Linked DNA regions of Ovis aries. The protein of the gene in region 4 purifies or fractionates together with the protein of the main gene of each other region. This does not show direct contact. Links are inferred from orthologs where the notes say so. Each region holds a gene or a part of one and is shown on either strand. Other genes may lie near its edges.

Region 1 (3,500 bases), on a different chromosome or scaffold from region 4:
CAGCTCTTTGCATCAGGTGGCCAAAGTATTGGAGTTTCAGCTTCAACATCAGTCCTTCCAATGAACATCCAGGACTGATCTCCTTAAGATGGACTGGTTGGATCTCCTTGCCATCCAAGGGACTCTCAAGAGTCTTCTCCAACACCACACTTCAAAAGAATCAATTCTTCGGCGCTCAGCTTTCTTTATAGTCCAACTCTCACATCCATACATGACCACTGGAAAAACCATAGCCTTGACTAGACAGACCTTTGTTGACAAAATAATGTCTCTGCTTTTTAATATGCTGCCTAGGTTGGTCATAACTTTCCTTCCAAGGAGTAAGCATCTTTTAATTTCATGGCTACAATCACCATCTGCTTTTGGAGCCCCAAAAAATAAAGTCAGCCACTGTTTCCACTGTTTCCTCATCTATTTGCCATGAAGTGATGGGACCGGATGCCATGATCTTAGTTTTCTGAATGTTGAGCTTTAAGCCAACTTTTTCACTCTCCTCTTTCACTTTCCTCAAGAGGCTCTTTAGTTCTTCTCTACTTTCTGCCATAAGGGTGGTGTCATCTGCATATCTGAGGTTATTGATATTTCTCCCGGCAATCTTGATTCCAGCTTGTGCTTCCTCCAGCCCAGCGTTTCACTCATGATATACTCTTCATATAAGTTAAATAAGCAGGGTGACAATATACAGCCTTGATGTACTCCTTTTCCTATTTGGAACCAGTCTGTTGTTCCATGTCCAGTTCTAACTGTTGCTTCCTGACCTGGTTAAAGGGGGTTAAATTGAAAGCAAAATTTGTAAAACTCTTCCTCAGATCTTTCAGTTAACGTTTGGAAATTGATGAATATTTCCACTTTGAATATTTCCCAATTTCACTCAAGAAAATCGTTTAAATTTCTTGCCCTGGAACAGGAAATAGGTAGTGTGCCCTTCATTTTAGAAGGAAAAAAGTCAACATCTAATTTTTTTTTGCTAAATCTAGTTCCCTTGTGCTTTTTGAGAAATTGTAATTTGGTATTTTCATTGCTGTTTAACAGTAAATAATATCATGTTTTGTGTTGTTGTTTAGGTAGGTGAAAAAAAATCCAGAATTAAACCTGTTGGCTGCGGGTTTCTGTTTGACTTAAAGGGCTTAGTCATGACTGCTTTGATAGAAAATCTCTTTTCCTGCTATGTCTTTTTTTTTTTTCTTTCTGGAAATTGGAGTTCTTTTAATTGGAGTTCTTATGTATCAGTCTGACGAGGTGAACCATTCTTTTGAATAGGAAAATCTTTTTCTTTCTTTTTCTTTTCATAAATACATTCCCTTCTATCGAGAAGACAGAGATGTGGAGTGGTTAGCCTGCATCTGACAGAAGGCTGAAGCCCCCGACATCTCCCTTGGCTGCAGAAAGCTCTCACACACAGGGTGTCCCCCCCCAGTGCCGTAACACACCCTGTCTTCACCCGCAGGCAGTTCCTATGGAGCTTCCGGCTGCCGGGAGAGGCCCAGAAGATCGACCGGATGATGGAGGCGTTTGCCCAGCGCTACTGTCAGTGCAACCATGGGGTGTTCCAGTCCACAGGTGCGCGCGCGTCCCCTCCCGGGGCTGGCAGCGCCTGCCCGGCGCTCTGCTAGGCACTGGGCCATCCCAAAACCAGAGGGGTTGGGTTCCTGCCTAAGAACATCACTTTAAATGGTGTTTGTAATGGTAAAAAGTTGGAAACTGTCCACGTCTGCCAGTAAGGTAGTAGGCGTCTAAGTAAGGGCACCTCTGAATTATGAAGTGTACAGCTATTAAAAATTATGTTTTTATAAAGAGGCTTTATTGACATGGAAAAATGCTAATAAGATTGGCCAAAAAGCAGACCTCAAAACTGTGTATCTGTTGTAATTCTGACATGTTACAGTATGTATCTCTGAGGTTCATATTTTTAAAAAATTTATCTATTTTTTAATTGAAAGATAATCACTTTACAAAATTTGGCTGTTTTCTGTCAAACCTCTGAGGTACATTTTGTGATACATTACACATAGTCACATTTGTGTAAGAAAGCAAAATAAGTTATTCCTAGGTAGTGGGATTATAGGTAGTTTATATGTTCTTTTTCATATATTGTGCTTTTCTGTACATGTTCTTCTTACACAGTCTGAAAAAAATAAAACCCTTTTAAGTCGTGAATGCTTTACATTCTTTCTCATGCCTTGCCCTTTGCAGTTAGAGTGTACCCAGATGCGTGGATTTTGCTTACTCTTTTGAGAGCACTGCTTTGCATTCTCAGTCTCACCTGGTGCTTTTTGTTCTTTCTGGTGGGATGTTTCTGACTGGATTTTGTTTTTCCCTTTTAGACACTTGTTACGTCCTCTCATTTGCCATTATCATGTTGAACACCAGCCTGCATAACCCCAATGTCAAAGATAAGCCCACCGTGGAGAGGTTCATAGCCATGAATCGAGGCATCAACGATGGGGGAGACCTGCCCGAGGAGCTGCTCCGGGTGAGCTCAGCTCTCCTTCAAGGCCATGGGCTCAGGCGATGCTGATGGACGTGGGGTTAATCCAGTGTCTGCTCGGACCATCCACTCAGCTACATAAATTGCATTAAGAAACTAGTAGCGAGGCCCAGCGAGGAATCAGTTGGGGAGAGTGATCTGTGACTCTGAGACCTAAGGCTCAAGTGGAGGTCAGGCTGCTCTCGCATCTCTCTTGCTCCCTGGCTAGGCCTCTGTCTCTTTTGTCTCTGGGCACTGAAGGCAGAGGGGTTCTGGTGCCACCAGTGCACAGCACGCAGTGGTGCTTGTTGCACGAGTGACGGAAAAGGCGGGGGGAGAGGTCTTTCTAGGATCGGAGACATGCAGCGTCATCTTTTCTTCCAGAATCTGTATGAGAGCATAAAAAATGAACCCTTTAAAATCCCCGAAGATGATGGGAATGACCTCACCCACACTTTTTTCAACCCAGACCGAGAAGGCTGGCTATTGAAGCTCGGTAAGTGATGCCCTCTGGGTCAGGGCTCCTTACAGACGCTTAGAAAGGACGTGTGTGTGCACACCCGGGCATGCACTATGGGGAAAGGGGGTTTGGTACAGGAGGCTCTAAGAAGAGACTTTGGTATGAGTTCCTACTGTTCTAACAGAATTGCCTCCCAGAAGACAGTGAAGGCATGGCCAGCGCCCCACGGGACACACAGACTCCTGGGGACAGACTTGCCCACATAAATATTGCCCACGGGTATTTGCGCTCCACGTTTCCTCTCTGGGGTGGATTGAGGAGGGTTCGTTTTCAAGGCGGTTCCCCGAGGACCTCGTCCTTTTCCCTCCCCAGCCCCCCTGACCACTGGGAGGGTGGCCAGCTGTGCCCATCTCTCTACTTCCCATCACAAGTTTGTGCCCAGTGCTCCCGCCTCCCCCACCCCCAGTGCATCATCACCTCCTTCTGCATCTGGCTCCCCACAGGCAGCATGCATGGCAAACCCAGGGCCCTGGCTGCAGCGCAATCCACGGCACTCTTACTCATTCTTGGGCG
Region 2 (4,046 bases), on a different chromosome or scaffold from region 4:
CTGACTTTCTACTTCTACCCACAAGGGGAACCACTGTTCTGCTACGTTCTACTACAGACCAGTTATGCCTTTTCCAGAACTTCACAGAAATATAATCATGCCATCTGTATACTTTAGTGTCTGGTTTCTTTTACTTAATGTGTTTTGAGACTCATCTGTGTTGCTGTGTGTATTAGGAGTCTGTTCCTTTCTATAGCTGAGTTGCATCAATTGTATGAACAAACCAGTTTATCTAACCTGTTTTCTCTGAACAGCATCTATGTCTGTTTTGGGCCATTATGAATAAAACTGCTAAGAGCAGTCACATGTGAATCTTTTTAAAGAAATCTGTTCCTTTTTCCTAAGTAAACATTTAGGTCTTGTAACAGTACTCTAATTTCCCTTTGGGAAACCATCCTTCATCTTGGCTCCAAGGCTGGGTACACCACCTGGCTCCACGGAAGTATTAGTCTTCCTGTCCAGCACAACTGGTTCTGGAAGAGATGAAAGTGAAAGTGAAGTCACTCAGTCGTGTCTGACTCTTTGCGACCCTGTGGACTGTAGCCCACCAGGCTCCTCCATCCATGGGATTCTCCAGGCAAGAATACTGGAGTGGGTTGCCATTTCCTTCTCCAGGGGAATCTTCCTGACCCAGGGATCGAACCCAGGTCTCCCACATTGCAGGCAGACGCTTTAACCTCTGAGCCACCATATGTGACCCAAATCTGGCCAACATCAATTTCAAATCTCTTGCTAAAGCGATCTACAAAAAAAAAAAAAAAAAAAGACCTCTTTCTGTTGGCTAAAAGAGTAGCATAGAAGCCTGGAACTGATGGAGATTTTTGCCTGCCTGAGGGAGAAATCAACATGGAGGAAAGCAGAGCTGAAAAGACACAGAAAATACTGGTGACATAACCAAGGCTTCTGGATACAGCCATACCTGGAGCTGGTACACCTGGGACTCTAGTTAGAGTCAACAGATACTCCTTTTCTGCTTAGGCTAGTTAGAGTCAATAGATACTCCCTTTCTGCTTAGGCTAGTTTGGGCTACCTTTTTGTTACATGCAACTAAGAAGTTTAACTAAAAAAGAGGTAATTCATAGGGACCAAGGCTGTGAGGAAAAGCACATAGTAACTGCTATACATACAGCCTAAAACTGCTGTCTGACCCTCTCATACAAATGAAAATAGTCTATACTTAAACCACTCTAAAAATAATCACATAGGACTTAGGACAATAAAAGCTTTGTCATAAGTCAAAGAGAAGCAAGGCATCCAAGACTACATTCAGATCCCATACCCTCCATTTAGCCACATCAGTAAGAATCTACATTAGTTTTGTTAGAAAATATTTATTTATTCATTCATTTAGCTGCAGCACACAGCATCTTCGTTGCATCATGTGGGACCCATGGACTCTCTGGTTGTGGCTATGGGCTCAGTAGTTGTGGTGCTTGGGCCTAACTGCCGCACGCCACGTGGGTTCATAGCTCCCTGACTAGGGATCAAACACTGAGTCCTCTGCATTGCAAGGCAGATTCTTAACCACTGGACCACCAGGGAAGTCCCTCAATTCGGTTCCTTTTTAAAATTAAGGAGACCTGATGATTTCCACCTATCCCACCCTGCACCCCAACCCAATACCTACCAGGCTTTGGTACTGAAGCTTACATAGGTGACTCTCATTTAAGCCTACATCAATGCTACAAGCCCACCTTCTTTACAGCTGGGGAAGCTTTAGTTCAGTTGGATGAAGTTATGCTAGGTAACTCAGGAAATACAAGTAGTTGAGCTGCCACTGCAAGCCTGCAAACTATAAAATCTATACTCTTCCTTCCAAGTTTTGTCACACTTCAGCACATTCCATAGCAAAAAGAGATCAGTTCAGTTCAGTTCAGCCGCTCAGTCGTGTCCGACTCTTTGCGACCCCATGAATCGCAGCACGCCAGGCCTCCCTGTCCATCACCAACTCCCAGAGTTCACTCAGATTCACGTCCATCGAGTCAGTGATGCCATCCAGCCATCTCATCCTCTGTCGTCCCCTTCTCCTCCTGCAACTGCATCAAATACTGCTACAGGTCTGAGAACTAAACACTGAATTTGGTGACCTAGAGATGACTGGTGGCTTTGACAAGGCGCTATTTCAGTGGAAGGGTGGGGGCCCAGGCCCGACTGGAGTGGGTTCGGAGGAGAAAAAGTGCTAGTGAGTACAGACCGAAATTTTGGCTGCAAACAAGGGCAGAGAAACAAGGCGCCAAGAGAAATACGAATGAAGAATGAGGTCATTCGGTTAAGATGGGCACATTGTGAGCAAATAACAAATGCTATCAAGGTTCGGGGCCCATCCTCTGCCTTTGTCTTCTAGCACCTGGCCTGGGTACCCAGCCTCCCCGGGCCACTGCGCCAAGCTCCACATGCGGCGGCTTCCCACCCGCGCAGGGCAGGCAGGCGCACGCGCAGACGATACACCAGCCCTCCTTCCCGGCGCCCCGCCTTTCTCCGCCAAGGCGCATGCGCGCCGCCCCTCAAGAGCAGCCTCAGCGAGGCCGGGGCATGGAGACCACCGGCCCTCCACTCCCGCCATCCTGCAGGCGGGGGTGTGCGGCGGAAGGGGGTTGTCCCAGACCGCGATCCATACCTACCTACAGAGCCACGGGTGGAACAAGCACGTCGCGCTGGAAACTGCGACGGCGGGGGCAGGCGCGCGGTCCCTCGAATGCTCTTCAGAGTCTGCAGATGACAACGCCCTTTACGTTCGAAGATTCGCGGCAGGACGAGACCCACACAGCTTTTTTCCCTCTGATGAGCTTAGTCGCAGCGCGGAGGACCCCTCTACGCATGCGCCGTCATCCTCTGTGACGTGCCGCGCTGCCCTTTGGGAAATGTAGTTTTCACTTTGACACACTGCTCCCGGCTTTTCGGCCGAACCGTATTTTACCAAACCAGGGTCTTTGTGTGCCATGCCCTCCTCCAGGGGATCTTCCCCACCCAAGGATTGAACCGCGGGCACTTGGATTGGTAGGCAGATTGTTTACCACTGAACTACCTGGGAAGCCCTTCTGAGAAAGCTACAATGTGGCAAAGGAATCTGGGGCTTCCTTGTCTATCCTTCATCTAACACATCTGAAATGCTTTCCCAAAGAGCCTTGAAAAGTCACAGCAGTCTTCACTGAAGATCGCTTGAGGGCACATGGAGAGAGTTACACAGAGTGCTTTCCTTTTACTAATCCTTTTACTAATTCCTCCCTTGACAGAGTTATACTTCTGAAGGCCATGCTCTCATCTGTCTCTCCTCTTTGCTTTCTCCTGCTTAAGACCTGGCTTTTTTACATGAGGGCTTCAGGCACTTTCTGTGTAAAAAACCCTACAGTCACTCAGCTTGACCCTGTTCACACCCACTCCTCACCCATTTGAGCAAAACAGAAAGTTTTCTCTTCACCTTGGGAGGTGGGAGGTAGGAGGTGGGAGATACTGTAACCATTGTATTCACTTTTAATGGTGATTTTTCTTGACACAGACAAAAAGCCATATCTTGACCAGAAGGTGGCATAGTATGCATGGAATTGAGTAAAGGAAAGGGATGAATTAAACTGACCCTTAACATTTTCCTTTTCTCCCCTCCTTCTAAAACAGGTAACTTTGGGAGGCTATGAACTGTTGCCCACCAGGCTCCTCATACACTGTGAAAAAGTCAAATGTTGCCGGGATCTAGCATCTGGAAGTAAAAGTTCTCCAGAATCCCAGTTGAGGATATAACCTCTACGGAGAGTTTGGTACGCAACCCCACTGCTCACTCCCCTTTTTTTCAATAATTAAAATAGTTTTTACTATAGAAATAGGATTATAGACATGCTTGGGCAGCAATCCCTTGGACCCAGGCTTTCCCTGGGGTGAGAGAGTGGGAGGTAGGGACGGAGGGGAGGGTCTCCCCTTGGGTATTTAGCCCTGGGCTGGCACCCAGTGGTGAAAGGGGCAGTTCAGTTCAGTTGCTCAGTGTGTCCAACTCTTTGCAGCCCCACGGACTGCAGCACACCAGGCTTCCCTGTCCATCACCGACTCCCGGAGCT
Region 3 (3,988 bases), on a different chromosome or scaffold from region 4:
CAGATGTCCATGGGCCCCTCATGCTCCCCAGATATCCACTGACTGACCCCTCCCACTTCCTGCATCACTGTCCACGTCGCTCCCATGCACACCAGCTGTCTCCAATGGTTCTCACGCTCCCATACCACCCACAAATGTTCTCCACTGTCCTGACATAAATGGGTGATGGTCCCCGCATTGCTCAGATGTCCTCAAATGTCCCATACCCTCCACATGCTCACAGATGATCCCCAGGTTCCTCAAAAGGTCCCCCACCCCAATCTCTGTGTCAGTCCATTTTGTCACAGTCCAGTTGCAAGGCTCATCTATCAGGGCCTCTCCTCAACAAAAGCTGGGTGCAAGGGGCAGAGAGGAGATGCCCAGCAGGAGCTGGGTGCAGGGAGTGCGATTCTCACCTCTCCCCCAGGTAGTCCCCAATGGCCGTCTTGTTCAGGCCCTCGCCCTTGTACAGGAAGCGGGCGATCTCCTCAGGTGTGTTCTGCAAAAGTTCATTCTCCACCAGGAACTGGATCCCCTGGTGGGAAGGGCTGGGTCTCAGTGCTGGCATGCTCAGAAAGACACCCCTAGAAACCTTAGCCTCCAAACCCACCCCCATTCTCAACAGAGCGGGGCCTGAGTTTCATTTTCAGGCTCTTCCCAGGCCCCTAAACACCGCCTCTCCCGCAGCCTAGACTTTGCATCTACTGCTGCCTCTGCCTTTGCCTGGTGAATTCCAGTCCCCCCGGAGCAGGACCTGGCAAGAACAGGAGCTTCATGAATGTCTGCTGAATGACTTTACAAACTACCACTGCTTCTGGCAAGAAGAATAAAGTGGGAAACTGTTAGAAGACATCAGTTCATGAGGAGCTGTGAGGGCTCAGGCTGGAGGTCTTTCTCAGGCTCTCCTGATGTCTTGAGGACGATGAACTGAGGACCCCTCTCTCTGGATTTTAGTATCTGCGTCTAGGGGCTCCCTGAGGGCAAGGCAGCATCAAACCCTACACTGGGTCCTATGCAGTACCTAGCAGAGCCGCAGCCCAGAGGGAGGCCTGAGGAAATGGTGTAAAATGAATGAATGAATGAACGAACATCTTTTCTCCACTGGGTGAACACTCAGTCATCCTTCGCCTGACCCAAATGTCCTCCTGAGGGAAGCCCTCCTTGATGCCACCAGGCTCACTCCTCTGTGTCCACAGTCCAGTACCTCTCTTTCTCTCTGTCATGGCACTTCTCTGTCCACATTCCCTACCAGACTCAATCAAGCTCCTCCTGGGGACTCAAGAGTGGCAAGAGAAATGGGTCCTAAAATATGAGCAAAAAGGAGAGGAGGACCACTCAGGTAGAAGTTCCAGCATACACAAAGATCAGGAGGCTGAAGCACTTGGTTAGTGTTCAGGGAACAAATACTGCCAATATCTGGATCCAGTGATCAGGACCAATTCTGTCCACCTAAGACAGACCTTTAACCACCACACTTCTGGAACCCGGAGATGCCAGAATCCTATCTGGATGTCAGCTTGGCCGATCCCAGCCCTGTGGCCCCAAGCACCTTTTTGGGGTCCATATTGAACTTCTTCCTGCCCATTGCCATCTTCCGGTTCCGTTGCAAGGTTTTGCTGCAGGGGCAGAGAGCAGAGGGTGCAAGGTCAATGCCTGGGCATCCTTGGCCCTCGCCTGGCCCCATGACCCCTAGGCTCCCTGCCCTAGCCCTCACCTGCCCTCATTGGCCTCCAGACCCTCCACCTCGCTCATGGCTTCGCTGAGCTCCTCCCGCAGGCGCTGGATCTCCACCAGCAGCTCCTGCTTCCGCCGTCGAATGTTCTCCAGCTCCATCCGCTCCTCCGGAGTCAGGTCCGGGGGTTCTGGGGGAGGGAATCAGGGGTGGGAGATCAGTTCTGGGGACTGGGAGCCTGGACTTCTGAAATCTGGTGAAGGACAGAGCTCCTAGGTTCATGGGGAGGATGAGGATAAGAGTCCCGCCTCCGGTCAGTGGAAGAAGGGGCTGGGGGTCAGTCCAGGGGAGGAAGGGCTGGGAATCTAGACTCTTAGTCCTTGGGAGAGAAGGGGGCTTGGAGCCTCTACTCTAAGGTTTACAGGGGAAAGGGGCCTGGAAGCTTGACACTGCGGTTCATTACTTGCAAGGGGCCTGAGGCCTTGGTTTTCTGCCTCCATTCTCGGCGAGGTAGCTGGGGACCTGGGTGCCCGGACTCCTGGGTCCATGGAAAGTAACCATGGCAGGGGAAGCTAATGACAGCTTGCGAGAGTGAAGGAAGGGGTGGGGCATCGAAGGCCCCCGCCCTGGCCCTAGCGGAATCTCTGGCCCACACGATTTCTCCCCACCCCACCGTCCCCAGAAGCCCCCCTCCCCTCTCCCGGCAGGCACTGGGCTCGCCCGGCCCCTCCAGAGGGAATGGTTCCGCCTCAGCCTCGCCTCCGCCGCTCCATCCCACCCCCTCCCGCTGCCACCGGAAACAGGCTCGGCCCAAACAATGGCCTGGAACGCCCCGCTCTCCTGCCCTGCCGGAAGCCCGTCCCGCGCCCCACAAAAGCGAGGCGACAACAGGGCCGAACAAGCTTCTCAAGGCGCGCGTCGTGGTGGGGGAGGTCGTTCGCGGCGGAACGTTCGGGCTGAAACGCTCCATCTGCTCCCAGCCGGCCCCGCCCCTCCCCGACTTACCATAGACACCGTCCTCCATGGCGGCTAGGAAGGCCCGCGGGGAGTCCGGGGCGGTCCCGCCGGTCGGGCCCGGATCCGCGTTGGCCCGCGGGCTCGGGTGAGCCCGCTCAAACGCCCCGGGAGCCACCGCCGCCTCCTCAGCGCCAGTCCTCAGCGCTGAAAAGACTCTCCCTTCGTCTCCCAACCGCCCCGCCAGTAGGGACCGCCCCTCGTTTTGACACCGCCCAATCCACGGCGTGCCCTCTCTTCTGTTCCGCCTCCGAAACCGAAGGATCGCCCTCCAGGGCCAATAGGCGCACTAGGAGCAGGCGTAGCAACGTTCAGCCCAAAGTAGACGGTCTGTGGGGCCAATTGGAGTGAGAGCAGGGGCCGGGCCCCGCCTCCGAAACCAAAGGGTTCTTGGCAGGCTTCCCCTCCAATGAGAAGCCTCGAAAAGGAGATGCATGGAGGCGGGACTAAGCAGACGCAGAGGGAGGACTACGCCTGCGCAAGGGCTCTGCTCAATAGGATACCAGGTCAATCGAGCCGGGCCTATAGCAATACGTCGCTAGGGGGCGGTACTTTGTTAGGCTTGTTGCTAGGGGGCGGGGCCACAGCTCCCTGCTGTTTCCTTGAGCCACACCTCCTAGCTGGCCCGCCTGGCTTTTGACCGCAGTGGTTGCCAAGCAACCGGGAGCCGCTTTGGCTCACTTTCCTTTTGGCCCCCTTTCTCAAATGTACTGGCCTCTCCGATCTGCAGACCCTTTCCTTACCCTCCTCCTTTGACCTCCCCCATCCACCTCAGCCTCTTCAGAGTCAAGGAGTGGTGAAAAAAAAGACTTTCTTCCAAATGCTGCGCTTTATGGTCTCTGTAGAGGAGAATGGGACTATAGAGGAAGGCCAAATCCAGTGAAAGGACAGGCTCTGCCTTCCTGCCTCTCGAAGCCTCTCAGTTTCCTCCCTCTCTCCCCCAAACTCCTCCTTTAGGTTAGCATCCTTTCCGTGCCCAGGACAGTTCCCCTTTCCTCAGCATCCTTCCACCTCTGATCCCTTCTCCCTTCTCCGAGCCCTTTCCCTCCTCTCTGTCTCATTTCGCGTCCCCCTCCTCTCATACTCTTGCTCTTCTTAAACTCCTCCCTCTTCTCCGACTCCTCTGGCATCTGAGGCCATTTCCCCTCCCCCGCCTCTCATTTCCATTCCTTGAAGGCAAAACAGGTGCAGGGGCCTGGCTTGGAGGGAGAAACTGGGCACCCCCATCACGGACAGGTCCCAAATTGGGTCTGAGGGTCGTGTCTGGGCCTGGGCCTCACTCATCGTCCCAGAGTTCGGCAGGCAGGGACAGATTCCAGGCCA
Region 4 (3,500 bases):
TGGGGACTGGTCTGGATGGAGGACTAGAGACAAGAGGTGTGGGTGGTGTGTGTGCGTGCGTGTGACAGCGAGAGGGGGAGAAACAGAGAAAGCGGTCAGTGGCCGTGGATGGAGGGTGGGATGGGAAGGGTGAACCCTGACCGCGGCCGCACCGCACCAGGCTGGTGGGGCCGCCCGTCCTCTGAGCCGTCATGGGCCACTGGGTGGCGGGAGACGAGCCGGTTTGCAGCTGTGACACAGCACCGTGGCAGCCGGCCCGCAGTCTGGACAGGCCTGAGACTGTGAGCCCACGTGTGCATCACCGCCCGGGCTGGGGCGGGCAGGGAGGCAGCCAGGACCAGCCCCCCTGAGCACATGGCCCTGTCCCCAGCAGGCCCGGACAGCCCGGTGTCCCCCGGGAAGGAGCTGACCCACGCCGTGCGGAAGCAGCAGCGGGCCCTGGAGGAGCGGCTGGAAGCCTGCCTGGAGGAGCTGAGGAGGCTCTGCCTGCGGGAGGCGGTGAGGGCCGCTCGGCTGCGGGGTGGGGCTGAGAGTCAGGGGTCAGGCGCCGCCCACCACCGCTCTCCCTGGGGGGGCCGACAGTACCGCACGGGGGAGGAACCCAGGGCACCATGGCCCGGCCCGTGCAGAGGCCCGGCCCGTGCAGAGGCCTGGCCCCGGGGAGCAGGAGGGACAGCCCTAGATGCAGGGCGGGCGGAGGTGGCGGGGGCCGGGTGGGCATGGGCCATGCACGCCTGCTGGACGGTGCTCCGCCCAGGGCTGGGCCTGTGAGAGCCGCCTGGCGTGACCTCGTTCCCCCCTGCAGGAGCTGACTGGCATCCTGCCTGCGGAGTTTCCCCTCAAACCCGGGGAGAAGGCCCCCAAGGTCCGCCGCAGGATCGGAGCCGCTTATAAGCTGGACGAGTGGGCCCTGCACAGGGAGGTGAGTCTGCCGGCGCCGTCCTGGGTCCCGGAGGCGGACAGCCCTGTCCCCAGGCCACCGCCCCACCGCTCGAGGCCCTTGGCTCCCGGTGGACGAGGGGCCCCGCCCACGAGTCACCCACAGGGGCCTCAGGGAAGCCCTGCCTGGGCAGGAACTGGAAGGGCCCTGGCCTCAAGGGAGGACGCTCGGCCAGTCCCCCCAAGGGCCAAAGGGCAGCCGCCTGGACAGGCTGGTGGCTCGGCCCCCCGCCTGTCTTCCTCTTTCTCAGTCGGGTGGAGAGCCGTGGGGGTGGATCCTGCCCTCGGCCCCGCCCTGTGCTGTGAGGGGTTGCGGAGCCCCTGGGCTCGTCTGCCCTTCCGTTGGACCGTTGGACCGGAATGTGTCCACCTCGGCCCCCGCCCCCGCCCCCGCGGGGCTTGGCTCGAGGCTGCCGGTTGGGTCCCAGGGCGGGTGTGGAGGGGCTGCCTGGGATCGCTGATCGCGTCCTCCCCCAGGACCCCCTGAGCGGCCTGGAGCGCCAGCTGGCCCTGCAGCTGCAGATCGCTGAGGCGGCGCGGCGCCTGTGCCGCGAGGGGAACCTGGGCCGCCAGGTGCGCCGGCAGCGCCAGCACGCGGTGCGCCTGGAGGAGGAGAAGCTGCGGCAGCTGCAGCGCTGCCTGGGCGAGCGGCAGGGGCGTCCCGCACCCGGCCCGGCGCCGGGCCCAGGTGAGCCCCCGTCCCCGGGCCCAGGTGAGCCCCCAGTCCCCGGGGGGACAGCCCTCCGGGCCGCCCCCGACCTCAGCCGGCCCCACCCCCTTCCCCAGGACCACCCCTCTCCCCGAGACCCCTCCCCACTTAGAAAAGAGCACGCTCCTCCCTTCTGCTTCCTGCTTGAAGTACACCGCCTGGACAGGGGCCTGGCAGGCTGTCCGCTTGTCTCCAGGGCGTGTTCAGCCCTGCTGCCCCCAGCCCACGGCGTGGGTGGCGTGAGGCTCTGCTGCCTGCTGTGGGCGCTCCCGAGGTCCCGTTCTGAGCCTGTCTGTCCAGGGGACCGCTTCAGGGCCCGCGCCTCTGCTGGAAGTCCAGCCCCACCCGCCCACCCGCCATCCCCAAAGCGCTGCGGAATCTAGGCCCACCGGGTTGGGAGCGGCCCCTGCTCTCTAGTTACTGAGCCTCAGGCCAGTCCCCGAGCCCAGACCAGTCCTTGGACAGCAGTTGGTCCAGCCCAGCGCCTCTCCTGACGGGAGGTTCTGGGCCCTCAGCACGGCTCTCTCTTTCTCCTGACCCAAGCCCTGCTCGTCAGGTCGGCCCTTGGAGGCCTCCCTCCCGATCCATCCCTGGGGCCTCTAGCCCTGGGCGCCACTCCCCCAGGCCTCTCCTGGGCCCCAGGCCTGCTGAGAGCCGGTGGCTCTGCATGGACCTGGACTCCAGGCCTCACCAGGCTCCCCAGCCCCCACCCCCGCCCCTCAGGGTGGGCTTCCTGCCAGGGCACCTGCGGAGCCCGAAGTCTTGGTCTGTGTGCGGGCCCCACGGCGGTGCGGCAGGCACAGTCTCCATACCATCTCAGGATTCCCTGCCACCGCTCATCGCCTCTAATTCAGGGGGGAAAGGGTGGGCCAGACACCTTGCCGGTCCCCCACAGGCAGGAGTAGGGGGCAGGCGAGGAGGGGGGACCTCCATGTGCCGGCTGACCCTGTAGAGCCAGGAGACAGGGAGCTGGCAGGGCTGGACAGCGACCCCCAGGCAGACCGGTGCTGAGGGGAGAGGCCCCCAGCCCCTTCACTTCCCGACCGCACCCGGGACGCGGCCTCCCCTTGGAAGGCAGCAGCTGACCGGCGCTGGAGCCCTGAGGGCCCACTGGGCCGGTGGGGAGCGGCCGCGTCCCGTCTGTGTGTCTCAGCGCCTCCTGTATCCCTTCTGGGCTTGCTCCATCCCGGGGCCCTGACCACGGGCCTGCGGTGTGGGCAGGGAGCGGTGTGGGGTGTTGCTCCGCTGCCACCTTTGTGACGATGACGCTTCTTGTCGGGAGTGCAGAGCAGGCCAGGACACGCCTGGGGCTTTGGCCAGCCGGCCCGGGAGATGGAGGCAGGCACGCAATCCAGGGGGGACAGAGCTATGGGGAAGGGACCAGCGCAGCAGTGCTTTCACCCTCCTGATCAGAGAAACAGGCCTGCTCTCCGCACGCAGTCCTGTCCTGGCAAGGCCGAGGTCCTGGCTTCCAGCGTCCTCTCTTGGGAGCCCAGGAGGGGGTGGTTGGAGACAAGTAGTTCCTGCCCTGTGGCTCCTCTGCCCAGCCCGGCTCGCCCTGAAACAGGGAAGTAGAGAGGAGTTGATAATTAGTAGCTGAAAGGTGTGGAGAAGGCAATGGCACCCCACTCCAGTACTCTTGCCTGGAGAATCCCATGGACGGAGGAGCCTGGTGGGCTGCCGTCTAGGGGGTTGCACAGAGTCAGACACGACTGAAGTGACTTAGCAGCAGCAGCAGCTGAAAGGTGTTTTGAGTTAAACAGAGAAAAAGCAAACAGACTAACCAGAAAACTAACAGAAACCCACCCACCCTCTTGGTCATTCCACCAGCAACTGTGCCCGTGCCAGGCGA
Region 5 (4,052 bases), on a different chromosome or scaffold from region 4:
GCAGGATACAAATAACGGTATTAGGCAACCAGCCTGGACTCTTAAAAAGTCATTGTAAAAAACAAAAAGTTGTTTGTTTGTTTTTAAGACTGAGGAGACAGAACTAAATATAAAGTGTAAACCCTGACGGGAACCTGGATGGGTAAGAAAAATAGCTATAAAAGGCGACGTGGGAGCAAACTGGGGAGAGCAGGATTCGACTGGCATGTGAAAGCATGGTGCGGACTTACCGCTGGGCCCTTAAGTGTGGCAACGGTTGTGGTTAAGTAGGAGGCTGTCCTCGGGAGATGAATGCTGTTGAGTATTCAGGAATAAAGTGTCACATTATACATAACTTCCTTTCAGATGGGTTAGCCAAAAAAAAAAAAAAAGGAGTATTAACAGTGTTAAAAGATAAGGCAAACGTGGCAAATGCTAGCAATGAGGGTAACATACATGGATACTGACAACACTATTTCAACTTTTCTGCAGACTCAAAGGTTTTTAAAATAGCAACTTGAGAGAGAAAAGAAACAATAAGTGTACTGCCAATCACCGATTATTCCTAAGCCCAAACCCACAGGATCCGCCCCTCTGCTCTGCTGTGAACGTAAATGGGGGCAAGGGGCGGGCCTCTCTGCTGACTAATGGCTTTAAATGCCTACTGATTGGGATTTGTGATTAATTTTTCAGGACATAATTTCACATGGGCTTTTTCATGTCCATTTTACATATGAGAAGACTGAGACTTAAGGAGATTAAGTAATTGGCACAAAGCCTCAAGGCGGGAGGTACCACAGCTGCAGATATTTGCTTAAAAATGTCAACAGCAAATAACCGGTTCAAATGTTTAAACAAACCTCCCTACTAGACTCAGATTCTCAGAACAAACCACTGATGCCACGGTTGACTATCTTCTGCCTTAAACCGGGGAAACTGTCAGAAACATCTTTCAGTGGCTGACCTGATGGAGCAAATGGGCAAACCCTGGACTCTTAATGCCCAGATTTCACAAGGGAGAAGGGGGCCTCTCCAATCCCCTGGGACTGAGGTTATCAGTGCAGGAGCGCGGTTGCATGGTTCATCCCAACACAGCCGGCCAGGAGGAAGCATGGCCAAGGACAAGGAAGGCCACCCGCCACAGCACCCTGGTTCCAATAAATGGATAAGAGTAATGGTCTCTGGATGGATGATGGATGAGGGGTGGGGTAGTGTAGGGACACTAGGGAACAAGAGCTTCAATAAAACAAGCAAAAACAGCCTCAAAATGAAGGGTTTATACTAACAGAATCCTCTCCAGCACTTGGGGAAGGTGATCAGGTTAGCTTTTACCACCCGAGCTTGGTCTTTCATCTCTAGTGGACGCTGGACGGGCCCTGGCTGTCAACTTACAGCTCTTTTAATTAAGGAAATGGTTCTCCTGTCAAATCTGTTCCTGAAATTCCCAGTCGCCAATCTGTTTGATTGCTAAAACCAAGAAAAAACTGCCCAAGCCAAGCTCATGAGATTAGAGAAGCTTCTGGGCGTTCCCTCTCCGAAGGGACACAGCTGCGGCCAGCAACCACCCACCCGGAGGGCAGTGGGCCAGGGCGCACCCCTGACTCAGGGCTCCCGGGCAGGCCTGCCGCAGATCGGGCGCTGGAAGGACTAGGTGAAGCAGACTTTCCTCTCAAGGGTGCAATGCTTTTTACCCTACCCCCAAATTTTCAAACCCCTGGAAAAGAGAATGGCACCCCACTCCAGTACTCCTGCCTGGAGAACGCCATGGACAGAGGAGCCTGGAAGGCTACAGTCCGTGGGGCTTCGGAGTCGGACACGACTGAGCGACTGACACACGCGCACAAATTTTCACCAACAGAAAAGGGAGACAGAATTTCGAATGGAGAAGCAGCCAGAGCACTTCTGAGGGGCTTTCTCAGCGCTGCACGCGGGCGAGCCTGCTCTGTGCAGAAGCCGTGGCACCGGCCTCAGATGCGCCCCCCCCCCCGGGGGCGGGGTGCAGAAGGGAGGTCCCCGCAGGGCCCAGAGACTGAAATCCTGAAGCCAAGCACCTCAGCGCTGACAGAAGCAGAGCCCCCTGGGAAGCATCTTGGCTTATGTTCTTTCCAGATTAAAAAATAGTAATAATAATTATGTTCTGCACGTCCGGCCAAAGAACCGGGCATCTGGGAGGCAGAACCACCACGGGGGCTGCCAGATGGGCGTGGGACCCGCACGCGCTCCCTCGGGCTGCCCCGCTGGCAGGAATGTTCTTGTGAGCAAGATTCAGAGCCCCTCAGGACCAGTCTGACCTGAGGAAGGAGGGAAGAAGGCATGTGACTTTGTGTCAAAAACATCACAGTAACCATCTGACGGGCACAGAGCTTAATCTCGATTTTCAATGAAAAGGCTCAAGCTCCAGAAACGGCGCATCTTGGGGGAGCCCACGGCAGACACTCTGTGATTCCTGGGGACAGGCAATGTTTCAGAAGAACACTCACCCGACATTAATATTCCTGTTACGCAGGCGATGAAAGGCATCATTTTATTCTCAAGACGGTTCTCGCCCTCTGAGTGCATCACACACTGCATCAAAGTCTGTGGCCACTTGTCCTCCCACACTCGGGAAATACAGCCTCATCGTGTGAACAGGCCAAACATTGAAAAGTCACTGAAATCCTCCTGTTTTCCCATACTCTAACACACACAGAAATGAACTCATCTGCCTGTCTCAATTCAAAAAAATTTTAATCTAATTACTGCAACTTGGAAAAGGACATTCTTGATCGCTTTATTTCCTCTCTGAAGAGCTCAAAGGAAGTCCTGTCTTCTAACAGAATATTAAATGGCCGATGCCTGCCGCTTCTGACTGCTGTGTTTAAAAAAAAATCCTTCTGTGTTAAAATAAATGTAGTCATAAGGATGTGCCAAACGAAACTGTTAATGGATTTACGAGCATGTGAAAATAGATTTTGTTTTATTCAATGTAGGAGAAAAGTGTTCATCTCAGAAAGAAAGTATAACCTAGCCCAGTTCTTAAAGGGATAAATATATATACCCAGCGAACACGCATGGGAGAGAGATGTTTCCCCTGGGCCCTCAGTGGCCAAGACAAGATCCTTACTCTTGATAAATAAGAGAATGAAACTTGCCTGCTGCTCCAGCCAGCATCAGGCGACCTTTCGGCCCCTGGCTCCGCCACCTCTCCACAGCCCAAAACAAGGTAGGTATTTACAGTCCCACGAGACGGGACACGTGGAGACGGGACACGTGGAGACGGGAGGGGAGAGGGCCCTCCTGTGTCCCAGCAACTCCACCGAGAGCCCGGCAGACCATCCTCAGCCTGAGGGCCTGGAACTGAACAGATTTGAGGGGTACCGTGAATACAGGTTGGCCACCACCCGGGCCCGACAAAGGCCACAGCAAGAGGAGGAACTGTTTCCTCCTTGAGTATTCCTCCAAGAAGGAAAACAGTCTCCCCAAAAGTCCCCCTGCCAACTGCCCCTCACAGCTCATGCTGAACTTGGCTTCTATATCCTTCCTTCAGTAAGGAAAACGGGATTACCTTTACCGGTTTAGACGGCTTAAGCAAATCAGGGTTGTTAAGCAAGGAAGAAAGGGAGGATTTACTTGGGATACGGAGCGAAATGGGCTGCTACAGACTCCAACTCTGCCCTACAGACGGCCAGCCTGCACGCGGTGGGCAGCAGAGAAACAACCCAGTTGACCTGCCCTTCCCCTGCTGCCCCAAAATGTCTAGGTCCTGTTTTCTAGTTTAAAATCAAGGGTTGTTATTTAAAAGTTACATGTTACAGAAAGCAAAAATTTTTTAAATACTTTCAAAAGCCTATGCGGCCACCCTAGCACTAAATCAACTAGACAAACAGCTAAATAGTGACTGCTTTAATGAAGCCTCACATTATCAAATTGTGGTTTTAAAGAACTTCCAGAATGTAAAATAAATGCAATCCAGATGTTCTCTGAAAAAAAAAAAAAAAATGAAAACAAGATTGTTTTTACTTCATAGCAACCAAATAGGTCAACCCATTTCCTCCTTCATAGAATTCTCAGAGGACCACAAACTCCACTTGAAG
Region 6 (3,500 bases), about 46 Mb from region 4:
CCAACTTTAAAAGGGAGAAAACGGATGACAAAGCTTACCCAACAACTTGATATGATGTCTGAATCTCCTCCCATCCGCCCAAAGTCCTTCTTACACTCTGATTCTGACTATTTGGGGTCTTTGTTTTCTTCATGCTCACAGGTTACTTCATTTTCTTCAGACATTTGTTTCCCCAGAGCCTGACTTTAGTCAGCCTGAATCTGACCTCTAGCTTTAACCACAGCCAGTAGAATCTCAGCACTTTTTCTTTGGCATTCACAACATAATGTAGTGACTCCTGTTTTTCCCTACAGTTATGGCCTTAGCTTTGTTTTCTGGTTTATACAAACTAAGAATGACTGAATTATCTACTCAGTCACATTCTGACATTATTCCCTTAAATGAATCCTGGTTTAGATTCTTGGTTTTCTTTATCCATAGTGTGACCAAATAATTTGTCACTGAAATTGGGACTCTTTTTGAAAATGAAAAAAAGGATGCTTATTATGGACAGCAGGTATACACGAGGTTTTATGGTCCTTCTCTTCATCCAGCAGTTTACTTTTCAAGAGTCTCAACTGCCAACAATGACTTCCTTCTTGACTTTCTGTTGTTGTGGCCAGGCTATTTCCTTGCACTTTTAACTTCCATTTGAGTTTCAGATTTGACCTTTTCAATGCTGAAGAACTTTTCAGGATTTATCAAAACCTAGTGTAGAGATTCATACATGGAAACTACTCACAAGGTTAATAACACAGCTAATATTTATAGACCTTTTATCATAAGATAGCATTATAATAATAAGCCTCATATATTTTATTGAATTCTTTTTGCAATCTAGTGTTCACTCAGTGTACTTATATCTGGTACATCTAGTACAGATCTGTCTGTCTACAAGTGTTCATGTTTTTAAACTATTACAATATAATCTCCCACTGAAAGATCTTTTAATAGAGAAACACCAATAAACTACAAATGAAATATACATAAATCAAACAAAACTACACTAGAATAAAATTAATCTGAATTTTAACACTTAATAGCTTTTTTTCCCCAAAATCTATCCTTTTATTTTCTACTTGACAGTATCTTAAATAGCAATATACTAACTTTAATCTGAAAGTAATGTCATTATTGATTCAGTGATGAAAATAATTAGAAATGACTGAGTCATTTTCTATTGCTACAACTGTGTTCTTAGCTTTCCTTTACTATTATTAGAAATATTACTTTATCTGTTTGTTAATTTTTAAAAACTTCTCTTTTTTTTATTTACTTCTCTTATTAACAACTATCATAATATCTATTTCCTAAATTAATGGGTTTCCGAAAGTCTGGAGTGCTATACCCCAACACTGAAAAATTCTGAGCATTTGCTCCTCAACTGACGGATGTTAGAAATTTTATATATATATACATACACACACTGTATACACTATAGAACACACTCTTAAACAGAAATAAAAACTATGAAATTAAAAATAAATATAAGTCCTAATAATCTCCTGCTTCCCAAAGGGTTACCTTGTCTATTCTCTAAAAGACCACTGTTTAAGCTCATCATCTGAACTAGTGTATCTCAAATGTTAATCTGCATATGAGCCCTACTTTTAAGGCAGATTCCTTTTCACTATATTTAAGGTGGACTGGAGATTTTGTATTTCTAACAGGCTCTCTAGTGATGCTAATGCTGCTCACATGCTAAGTAACAAGAACCGAAACAAGAGATTAATGCTTAGCCAAATTTATGTTTCTGTCTTCCAGGGGATAAAATATACAGCAGATTCTAAAGTCAATCTTTCATTACTGGGGGCAAAACTACTTTTTAAACCATATAACAATCATTATACACATTAATCAAAAACATCAAAAATAAAATCTGTAATGTAAATAACTATCATAACTAGGTATACCCTTGCTTAAACTCAGAGTATCATAAACACACTGATTTTGTTTTTATACATTTCTTTTCTATCACCACAGACAGCAGTGAATAGAAATTAAGAGAAGAAACTAAGGAGAAAGAATAAAATGGATTAAAACATGTCTTTTCATCTGCTTCAAAAATAAAATTAAAAAAATAAAAACTCTGTTTAACTATTTTTAACTGAAGCTCATGTTTATATTAATGGAGTCAACAGTAATCTGGTTTTCTTTGATTTTTAGTTTTTAAATGCAAAGTGAGCATGGTCAAGATGTAGCATTTAAAAAGTCAAACTTAAATTATTACAACTTTAACAGGTCCAAACAGCTTATATGTATAGAACTTTACATATGAAACTCAGGCAAATTCAGAATATAGTAGAACAAAATCAGAAAGCATTTTGGTCTTATTGTTAGGTTTCCAGTTCCCTAATAAAATCCTAAAGTTTTAATACACTACCTACATGAAAACATTTGATATCCTCTAATAATTTCCAACAGTTAAATATACCACGAGAAAACTAATACCAATTATTTACCTTGTCAATCATTTTTCTTGCTTCCACTTCCTCACTGTTGGGATTCTCTAACTCAATGGTATAAGTACCCTTGTCACTTTGGTCATCATCATTATCCTTTTCAGAAGCAGCGGAAGTAGCTTGATTTTTTAACATTTTATCCATCTCCTGGCTTGGTCTGTGCCCAAGACTCCCTGAACTTCTTAATAATGCAGTTTGTAGGAAGGGAATTGACACCGATGGCTCCTCTGATTTCTGTTTTAACAATTTCCCATGTGGAACACCATGCCCCCCTCTGTGGTGCGCAGAGCTAGTCTGTAAAGACAAAGAAACCACTTTGGCATCTGCTGTTGGAGATTTTGTTTTTTCAAGTTTTGTATGTGGTGCTGAATAAGTAGTTTCCTGACACAAGATTCCCGTACTCTGAGTGAAAGAATATGACCTTCTTTTTCTGGGATTGTCTTCATCAAAGAATGCAATCATAAAAGCAGTTTGACTTACAACAGCTTGGTCTTGATGCTTTTCAGTAGCCTGGGCCTTCTGTAGTTTTTTCTGTTCTGAATGGTGGCGCCTTAAGTGTTCCTCAAGAGTTGCACGCTTGCTACAGCGCCTGTGAGCCCCAGCATTTTCTGAGTCGCTTTGTGTACCATCATCATGTTTGTTTCCTGGACACAGAAAAGAAACCGCATAATAGAGACGGGAAAAAATCCTATGTAGAAAATCAAAGCATATACAAAAGTGCTGCTTGTTCTGCCCCTCCCCCCTTTCAATCCAAAGTCATATGTTCTTTTCAGTAACAGGCTCTGCAAACTTCCCTCAATTGCAATGCTTACATTCAAATTTCATCAACCAACAATGAGTCCTTTATAAACACTTGAATAGGATTACTTTTCTTTCTCCAAATTTTGACTTTATAATGGTTCATCAGTGCCTTAAAAGATAAGCAGTGCTACATCTATGATAGTCTGTATTTGTAACATTAAATATTAATCCTGCCTTTAAACCTTATACCTTATTTAAACAATCAAAAACTTATCTTTAGCATTAGAAGGGAAAAGACAGAAAAAAGTGTGATCCCAC

What was found.
Region 1: the proteins of INAVA (region 4) and CYTH1 purify together in Homo sapiens (co-immunoprecipitation; 3 studies listed by BioGRID and IntAct, counting the BioPlex papers as one, with this or other methods). This does not show direct contact. The link is inferred for Ovis aries from reciprocal best matches to the Homo sapiens genes INAVA and CYTH1.
Region 2: the proteins of INAVA (region 4) and SGF29 purify together in Homo sapiens (co-immunoprecipitation; 3 studies listed by BioGRID and IntAct, counting the BioPlex papers as one, with this or other methods). This does not show direct contact. The link is inferred for Ovis aries from reciprocal best matches to the Homo sapiens genes INAVA and SGF29.
Region 3: the proteins of INAVA (region 4) and CYTH2 purify together in Homo sapiens (co-immunoprecipitation; 3 studies listed by BioGRID and IntAct, counting the BioPlex papers as one, with this or other methods). This does not show direct contact. The link is inferred for Ovis aries from reciprocal best matches to the Homo sapiens genes INAVA and CYTH2.
Region 5: the proteins of INAVA (region 4) and CYTH3 purify together in Homo sapiens (co-immunoprecipitation; 3 studies listed by BioGRID and IntAct, counting the BioPlex papers as one, with this or other methods). This does not show direct contact. The link is inferred for Ovis aries from reciprocal best matches to the Homo sapiens genes INAVA and CYTH3.
Region 6: the proteins of INAVA (region 4) and CEP170 purify together in Homo sapiens (co-immunoprecipitation; 3 studies listed by BioGRID and IntAct, counting the BioPlex papers as one, with this or other methods). This does not show direct contact. The link is inferred for Ovis aries from reciprocal best matches to the Homo sapiens genes INAVA and CEP170.

The regions. Positions count from the first base shown.
Region 1 is NC_056064.1:52,964,185-52,967,684, forward strand, and holds part of CYTH1 (cytohesin-1), read left to right. Parts: intron 1-1,447; coding exon 1,448-1,560; intron 1,561-2,324; coding exon 2,325-2,473; intron 2,474-2,851; coding exon 2,852-2,964; intron 2,965-3,500. UniProt on the Homo sapiens protein: Promotes guanine-nucleotide exchange on ARF1, ARF5 and ARF6. Promotes the activation of ARF factors through replacement of GDP with GTP.
Region 2 is NC_056077.1:26,603,647-26,607,692, reverse strand, and holds the start of SGF29 (SAGA-associated factor 29), read right to left. Parts: upstream 2,801-4,046; 5' UTR 2,622-2,800; exon of another isoform or gene 2,484-2,621; intron 474-2,483; 5' UTR 238-473; intron 1-237. UniProt on the Homo sapiens protein: Chromatin reader component of some histone acetyltransferase (HAT) SAGA-type complexes like the TFTC-HAT, ATAC or STAGA complexes.
Region 3 is NC_056067.1:54,896,523-54,900,510, reverse strand, and holds the start of CYTH2 (cytohesin-2), read right to left. Parts: upstream 2,801-3,988; 5' UTR 2,676-2,800; coding exon 2,657-2,675; intron 1,842-2,656; coding exon 1,694-1,841; intron 1,596-1,693; coding exon 1,529-1,595; intron 515-1,528; coding exon 396-514; intron 1-395. UniProt on the Homo sapiens protein: Acts as a guanine-nucleotide exchange factor (GEF). Promotes guanine-nucleotide exchange on ARF1, ARF3 and ARF6. Activates ARF factors through replacement of GDP with GTP.
Region 4 is NC_056065.1:78,908,776-78,912,275, forward strand, and holds part of INAVA (innate immunity activator protein), read left to right. Parts: intron 1-370; coding exon 371-498; intron 499-805; coding exon 806-922; intron 923-1,416; coding exon 1,417-1,651; intron 1,652-3,500. UniProt on the Homo sapiens protein: Expressed in peripheral macrophages and intestinal myeloid-derived cells, is required for optimal PRR (pattern recognition receptor)-induced signaling, cytokine secretion, and bacterial clearance.
Region 5 is NC_056077.1:38,609,240-38,613,291, forward strand, and holds the start of CYTH3 (cytohesin-3), read right to left. Parts: upstream 2,801-4,052; 5' UTR 2,551-2,800; coding exon 2,460-2,550; intron 1-2,459. UniProt on the Homo sapiens protein: Promotes guanine-nucleotide exchange on ARF1 and ARF6. Promotes the activation of ARF factors through replacement of GDP with GTP. Plays a role in the epithelial polarization.
Region 6 is NC_056065.1:33,235,539-33,239,038, reverse strand, and holds part of CEP170 (centrosomal protein of 170 kDa), read right to left. Parts: intron 3,086-3,500; coding exon 2,442-3,085; intron 1-2,441.